2 linked regions of the Lytechinus pictus genome follow. The protein of the gene in region 1 purifies or fractionates together with the protein of each later gene. This does not show direct contact. Links are inferred from orthologs where the notes say so. Each region holds a gene or a part of one and is shown on either strand. Other genes may lie near its edges.

The links.
Region 2: the proteins of U6 snRNA-associated Sm-like protein LSm1 (region 1) and protein PAT1 homolog 1-like purify together in Homo sapiens (co-immunoprecipitation; 3 studies listed by BioGRID and IntAct, with this or other methods). This does not show direct contact. The link is inferred for Lytechinus pictus from reciprocal best matches to the Homo sapiens genes LSM1 and PATL1.

The regions. Positions count from the first base shown.
Region 1 is NC_087256.1:4,034,464-4,038,550, forward strand, and holds the start of U6 snRNA-associated Sm-like protein LSm1, read right to left. Parts: upstream 2,945-4,087; 5' UTR 2,675-2,944; coding exon 2,629-2,674; intron 1-2,628. UniProt on the Homo sapiens protein: Plays a role in the degradation of histone mRNAs, the only eukaryotic mRNAs that are not polyadenylated. Probably also part of an LSm subunits-containing complex involved in the general process of mRNA degradation.
Region 2 is NC_087263.1:11,873,707-11,877,793, reverse strand, and holds the start of protein PAT1 homolog 1-like, read left to right. Parts: upstream 1-1,332; 5' UTR 1,333-1,415; coding exon 1,416-1,454; intron 1,455-1,811; exon of another isoform or gene 1,812-1,943; intron 1,944-4,087. Other genes in the region: deformed epidermal autoregulatory factor 1 homolog, read right to left, coding at 435-888. UniProt on the Homo sapiens protein: RNA-binding protein involved in deadenylation-dependent decapping of mRNAs, leading to the degradation of mRNAs. Acts as a scaffold protein that connects deadenylation and decapping machinery.

The DNA.
Region 1 (4,087 bases):
ACATGCAGGTGTCCCTCAGGGAACTAAATTGGGGCCAATTATATTCCTAGCGATGGTCAATGACATTAAGCCATCCTCCAAGAACTCATCTACCTTCAAATATGTAGATGATCTGTCTGTTGTAGATTGTAGGAACAGTAATCAATTATCTGAATTGCAAAAAGCTATGGACTATATTCTAACCTGGTGTGAACGCAATCATATGAAAATGAACCCCCTAAAATGTGCGCAAATGAATGTTTGCTTTCAAAGGTCTTTCCAAGTGCACCCATCAGTTTACATTGGTACCCATGAACTGGCAACTGTTCAATCAACCAAACTTCTGGGAGTCATTATCCAAAACATTAAAATGGGACCAAAACACAAATGATATCATAAAGAGATCAAACAGCAAAATTCACATGCTTAGATTATTGAAATGCCATGGTCTTCCCCAAGATGATTTGTTGACAATATATAGGTGCTACATTAGGCCAGTGCTGGAATATGGAGCTCCTGTATGAAATGGGGGACTCACCAAAGAACAGATCACAAGATTAGAAAGAGTTCAGAAAAGGGCTTTGAGGTTAGTTATGGGCACATGCTACTCTACTTATGATACTGTCTTAGTGGAATTGAAACTCCAATCTCTCTCTGATAGAAGGGAAGATTTGAGTTTGAATTTCTTTAAGAAAACTCTAATCAATACAGACCAATTCAAATCGTTTTTACCTCCAGATAATCCAAGATTGTTGAGACGTAAACCCCTAATCCCTGAGCCAACATGTAAAACCAAACGAATGCAAAATAGTGCAATACCGTATCTCATTCGTATACTGAACAATAACCAGAATAAGTGATGAGTGAGTATGCTACTGTTCCTCCCTACCTGCTCTTTGGACTTGTCAATCCCTTAATGCTTGTGGTCTTGTGTCTCACCTTCCCCTTCGACTCTTTATTACCTTGTCTTGTCTTTCCATTATTTAATGCCCACAATCATTATATTGATTATGGCATATGAATGTCAAGATTGACTTGACCTGAATTTTGCCGGGACCTGCAGGTGCAATACACCGGGTGAACACCCTACTCTTTGACGAATAGTGTATTGGTTTTAACGTGCATAGGTTGTGACTCTCCTATACACAGGACCAACATTTGCGTCCTTTCCGATGGACGGAGTGTTTTCCAACTGCATTTACACCTGCACTGAATACAGTGGTGAGGCACGCTAACACACAACGCTATAGCATCAGATTTTTGTTTGTTAGACGCGTTTCGGCATGAGCGGGACTCGAACCCCTCACGTTGAGATCTACGATCTTATCAGAAACATGCGCTCTAACCGACTGAGCTACGCTCCCTCCTTTTCTACTTAACTCTCTCCTTCCCCGCATTCTGTTTTTCCTTCTCCCCTTTCTTTCCTCTTCTCCTTTTTTTCCCTTCTTCTTCTTGTAATTCTTTCTATTATCTCCTTCCCTTTTCTTTTACCCTTGCTTCTTCCTTTTCACCTTTGGTCTCTTTGACTGTTTATTCCTTTTCCTTCTCATTATCACCTTCTCTCTACTTTTCTGTATTTTTCTCCATTTTTCCTCATTTCTTGCTTTTCACCACTCTGTTTTTTCAACACAAACACTATGCACTCTATTTTTTACGATGCAATCTGGTACAATACAGACAAATTTTACATTTTTTTATCTTCCCAGTTTACTATGTTGAATTCTAATTATCTATAACTAAAACAGATTTTTTTTCTCTGGTAGCCTCGCTACCGTTCTCTCGTCCTCTTTTTTTTTCCTTCTTTCTTTTTTGCTTCGTTGTATATTTACATTGTATCCCCAATTAAGTTGTTTTCACTATTGAACAGTTACTCCATCTCGTTGATTATATTGTTCTTGTTTTTTCTTTCGCCTTCAATTTTAATTGCTGCTTCATTTCTTTATCCTTTTGTCCCTTTTCTCCGCACTTTTGTTATTCTGCCTATATTTTTCTCTTTATCCTTCATCTCTTGTGTATTCATATATTTAATTTAATCCTGAATTGCACACGATCTGGTACTTTTTGCATAAATTGCATGTCTAATCTTTTTTCTCACATTGATTCTCTGACTTTGTATTTTTTGTTTTAGTTCTGTGATTCTTGTAATTGACGTTAACGTCATATTGAACGCATTTAGTCTTGTGATAAGTTTTTGTTTATTTTATGTTTTGTACCATATTTGTTGCTTTATTGTATTATGTTTTTGGTGTTATATTCCACATTATGCTTATACCTTATGATTTCAATCTTTATATTGTAAAAACTTTTTGTAATTCGGCTCTGTGCTGCGATGGAAGTTTTTATCTAAACTTAGACTAAATAAACCATTTTGAATTTAATTGAAAAAGTTACTGAATTATTAAAATTTCACATATTATACACTCATCTATTGTCTATATTTCTTTGAAAATAGTTGTTAGCTACCGAGGCGAAAGAGATAGTAACAGAGAGACCTCGATTCTCGAAAAGCCTAGACTAAATCACTAGTGCCGTGGTTTCAGAAAGCAAGTGCCTGACATAGAATTCAACATGTGGGACAACATTGCACATTCATTGTCATTCATTTACTCAGTAGGCCTAGATCTATACAAAACGGTTCTTGGGTCTTACTATTAATTTCATCGATCAAACTAGCTGTTCCTGGCATATACTCCATCTTGCAGACCGATCGTAGGATGAGTGGTTCTAGTGCTAGGCTAAAATCTAGGCCCTAATGTTGACTCCTCCTCTGACTCTGATCAGTGTCGATATGTCACTGACGTTTCCGATCATCCGATCCTCCCAACGAAAATCATGTTAAAGATACCATAGGTTATTCAATTCAATTCGACCAACAATTTTATTCGTAAAAAATTACCGGTATACACTTCTACCCGACTCGGCCTATCGGTCCTGTCCTTACACAAACTGAGTTCTCAATAAACTTATCAGATTTTTACAAGGGCACTGCCCAAATTCCAAGAAAATATTAAAGGTCAAGTCCACCCCAGGAAAATTTTGATTTGAATAAATAGAGAAAAATCAAACTAGCATTGTGCTGAAAATTTCATCAAAATCGGATGTAAAATAAGAAAGTTATGGCATTTTAAAGTTTCGCTTATTTTTCACAAAATAGTGATATGCGCAACTCAGTGACATGCATTATGAGTCAGTCGACAGAGGCGTCGATCCTGGGGGGGCAGGGGGGGCGATCGCCCCACCAATGAAAATATTGGGGGGGCAAACATATCATTTTGCCCCCCCCCCCCCCAATAATTCCGGATATGCATAAAAAAAACAGATTGTAATGTTCAGCAAGCGAGATTGAGATACACAACTCGTTCTTTATTTAAAATTTTTATTGTGCTCAAAATGTCCGTTTTCAGATTGGAATATAAAAATTTTCAGCTCGCGCTCGCATCATTTCTTTAGCAAAAACCCATACTTTTCATGATTAAATTGGTGAATGTAAATGTCCAGTTTTCAGTTCTAAGCCTAAAAAGAACTGCTTCAATTTGCAATCATCTTTTCTTGGATATATAGCTTGTTCTTTATCAAAAACGTCCAGTAAACTGTCATTTTTTCAGACCGAAATATCAAAATTTTCAGCTCGCGCTTCGCGCTCGCATCTATTCTTCTTTTAGATACAAATCTTAATCATTGGTACCAAAAATGCTTAGAATATCAAGTTTTCAGCTCAGAATATAAAGAAATTTGAGCTCACTCTCGGCACTTGTACTATCTGTGTAGTGAGATATGTATCCTCCTCATGAGTTACTACAAACAGTCCTAAACAGGCACGCTTTTCCTGTCAGTATACTAAAAAAATCAGCTCGCGCTTCGCGCTCGCATTAATTTGTTGGTGAGATACGTGTCTGTGTGTGTGTGTGTGTCTCTCTCTCTCTCCCTCTCTCTCTCTCTCTCTCTCTCTATATATATATATGTGTGTGTGTGTGTGTATGTGTGTGTGTGTGTGTGTGTGTGGGTGGGTGGGTGGGTGTTTTGTACGATCGAGTGCCGTTAATGATTTTGCCCCCCCAATCTGAAAAATGGATCGACGCCCCTGTCAGTCGATGATGTCCATCACTCA
Region 2 (4,087 bases), on another chromosome or scaffold:
CATTTGTTTTGTGTGTGATTTACAGCAAAAATCCTTGTCAAAACAAAAGTTGACGGTGAATTTTTGAAGTAGATGGTGAAAAGGGGTAATTTTTCATGAGGAATCTGCTTATCACATTTTTATTTGCCGCCAAGGTAAATAATCCTTTTGCAGCTAATGTAAACAAAGGAAATTGGTCTCCAAAACTGGAGACTGTCTATGAATTTGGATACCCAAATTCTTTACAAGTCTCTGATATTGGAGACAGTCTCCAATATTGGCCGTGCGCCTCTAACTGTTACTGTTAGTGTTACTGACTTACTCAGTTACTGTATACCGGTATAAAACCCAGTTCAGTTGATTTATTCATTTTTAGGGCCTAATTCACACTATTTGCATCTACTAGAAAAACCTCATTGTATATCTTGTATTTATTTCCCAGACATTACACCTACCAGAACCTAATTTAGATTTGAACAGTTCTGCACCGTTGTTTCTGCATCTCACTGGCAGCACGTCCAAGTGAACGGTGTCGTCCCACGTATAGTGCCGCTTCTCCCCCGATGGCGACGACGGAGTGCAGGGGGTAGCCGGAGTCTTTAAACCGTCAACAAGAGCAGCTGCTGCATCAGCTTGCTGCACCACAGCAATTATTCTTGGTTTCAGAGGGGCACCATCTTGCACTTGAACAGGCAGTCCATTAGCAGTAAATATTCCTGTAGGCGTTGCTGCAAAAACATGTTCGGTAACAGCAGAAGTGCTAATTTGACCAGACGATACTGAAACGGAATCATTCGCGAAGGCAGAATCGTCGGCATTTGGACTCGGTAGACCTTCGGAGATGTCGGCAATTCCGACCGTCACTTCGGTAACTTCTGTATTTTCCATATCTTCACTACTGTCCCCCATTTAAGCCGCTATACTTGACTGTAAACTATAGAACATTAATAATCGGTCCGATCAAAATGAAAATCGCAAATAAAAAGTACAAATTTCGAGAATTAAAATTGTTAAACGGTATGGTCGGGAAATTTCGTAAAACACTCGCAATATGGCTCCCTCGCCCTTTCGTTTTTTCGGAGACTCATTACACATGCGCGATAAAGGTTACATTGGAAACGTCCATATGGATTTAGGGGTAAAATGACAATGTTTATCGCAAGAAGAGTTATTTTGCGAATTTTTGATCAGTTTTTGAAAATATAAATCGATATAAAGAAAAGAAGTACGGTATGCAAAATCGAAAAATATAAATTCGTAGAATCGTAATGAATCAAACATGCATTATTATATTGATCATTAAATCATATTCGCTGCACAAATAAAGAAGTACCCCCTTGCCAAAGTGTGCTAACCTTTGTCGTCTTTATATTTTATTTCAACTGGGATGAAATGGATTTTACCAAAGTCAGGATTTTCAACACTGCAAAAACAAGATGACAGACAATTTATTTGGTTATGCCGGAGATTTACCTGTAAGTTATTTTCTATGCGTGTTTGTGATATGGAATTGATTTTCTTTGGGTATAGATACTGCAAAATTAACAAATTTATCTCAAAACTTAGATATTCAATTAGGTGCTTTGGTCCTACATACGGCTTTTTGTGTAAGTTAAAGGATATTCTTGGCCATTGATTAATTAAGTCTTTTAAGATTTGGAGTGATTGGACGACTCCTTCCTTGCGCTCCTAACTTTAATAAGCAGGGGCCTAACGTTATTATGTTTGATGTATTACTCCTGACTGCAATGTAAGTGCCATAGTTTTGAAAAAGCGGGGATAATTAATGTTTGTAAATCGTGTTGTAGTAAGTCACCCCACCCCCCATATAGGTCTTCCACCGGGAGATGGCGCTGGACCCCTTTTAGACGCTGGAGGACGTTGGATCCCTTGGATCATCGTATTTGAAGCTGAACTCACACGGAATAGACAGGATCTAAGGACATCACTCCAGAAAACTACTGGTAGGTGATTTATTCCTTATATTCTTAGCTTCAGGTATCAACCTAGTGGTCAAGCTGGGGGCGCGACCGCTACAGTGGCGCTGCGAGCCTGACTGTGCCTGCTTTTGTGGGCATTTTAGGCCAAATTATTGAAATTAATTGGGGTATAATTGTCTCGCGGCGAGCTAACGGCCCCCTATTGCGCATCGGACGAGCAAATCCCTATGCCCCGCTGCGTGGGGGGAAATGGTCGCCGCTCGAGTACGAGAAATCAGTTTTAGATTGGGCTAATTACAGTTGATAAGGCTAAATTCAGAGCCTTGTCGTATTGCGTATATTCTATGAATATTGTCCCTTGTTTCATGTTTGCGATTGTCCTGAATTGAGAGGTTAAATCTTGATTTGGGACATATTTAGGCAATCGTCCCCTGTCTTTTTTGGTAAGGTTTTCGTCGCGGGGACTGATGGTAGTTCCGGTCCCGTGACGGAAATTTCCAGAAAAGGGGGGAGAACACACGTGTTGTTGTGTTGTGAGTTTGTTTTAGTTTTGTGCTTTAATATCCGTTTTTAGTTGTGGACTGTGTTTCACGTTGGTGTGATTGTGTGATTTGCTTGTGATTTTGGGTGTTTGGATGATTTTTGTGTCGTTTTGCGAGTGATTTGTGAGTGAACTATTTTTGTTGGGGTGAGAGGTGCGTAAGAGTGTGTGTGTTCCGGCTAGGTAAAAGCGCACGGCCCGATCCAAGATTTCACGGCGATCTATTGGCGGAGAGATATTATTGGTTCTCTCTGCCACCGACCGGTGCCATCTTGTTTTACATCGTCGGCTCAACGTTTGGGTCTAGTTTGAGATCCGAACTGACGTCAGGCCGGACCAATCCATCGCACGTATACGGGTAAACAACGGCGATTATTTGGGCGAGTAGGACGGGAAGCCAGACTGACCAACAAAGGTAGGGCATTATCCCAATCCTCTCTCGCCTGCCTATTTCGGATATTTTGAATTTTGTGTGGTGTTTTAGGGTGTTTTGTCCAAATTTTGGGGGAACGTTTTGTACTCGAAGCTGGGTAGAATTCACGGTAATTATCGAGATCTAACCAGTTAGACCGCCCGATCATTTCCGGGTTTGACGTTAGATCCAGTGCAACTGTGCACGACCATTGGTTGTGTATTGCATACCTAATAGGTTGGTTTTTGGTGCCAGTGTGTAGTGTTGTGTTGCGTGTGGACCCACCCACTCGTTGTAGCGGGGAGTCCGTTGCCAAATAAATAAAAGAAATAAAAAAAAATTTTGGAGAGAGTGTGGGGTGACTGTGTATGTGAATAAGTACATGTAATTTGTCTGTGGTGTGAGCGGGCACTAGTCACTAGCGTGATTGAGGACAGAACCAGCTTCGAGGATTAATAAAATAAATAGCCTAGGTAAATTAATAAAAGACAAGATAGGCTTAACGTTAGAGGTTAATATAAATATTTTTAGAGCTACAATTATTCTTTTTGGCAGTGCTTGTGCAAACTATTAGCAACAACCGGACTAAACTAATCTAATTAATAATAAAAGCTAGAATTTTATACCATAAATTGGGTTTGCATTTGGACCTAATTTTTTGGGATAGCTTTTTTGGATAACTTTAGCAGGTTTTTTGGTCGGGCTAATTACTGTGCCTAACCATTAACTGTTAAAGGTATATTTTTGGACTTATACCGGTTTTATAATTTTAGTTGCTAAAAATAAAAGAATTGTTATAAAATAAATTGGGTCTGCATTTGGACCTAATTTTTTGGGATAGCTTTTTTGGATAACTTTAGCAGGTTTTTGGTCGGGCTAATTATTGTGCCTAACCATTAACTGTGGAAAGGTATATTTTTGGACTTTTACCGGTTTTTATAATTCTAGTCGCTAAAAAATAAAAGAATTTATTGGGGCCACTTTGGGATAAATTTAAGTAGGTTCTTGGTCGGGCTTATTATTGTGCCTAACCATAAATTGATTGGGGTATACTTTTGGACTCTTTTTTTGTAATTTAGTTGCCAAAAGAAAATAAAAGAAAGAATTTAATAAGATAGATTGGGTTAGATTGAGACCTAGTTTTAGAATAGCTTTGGGATAATTTAAACGGGGGTTTGGTTGGGCTCAGTATTGGGCCTAACTGAACCTTGCTAG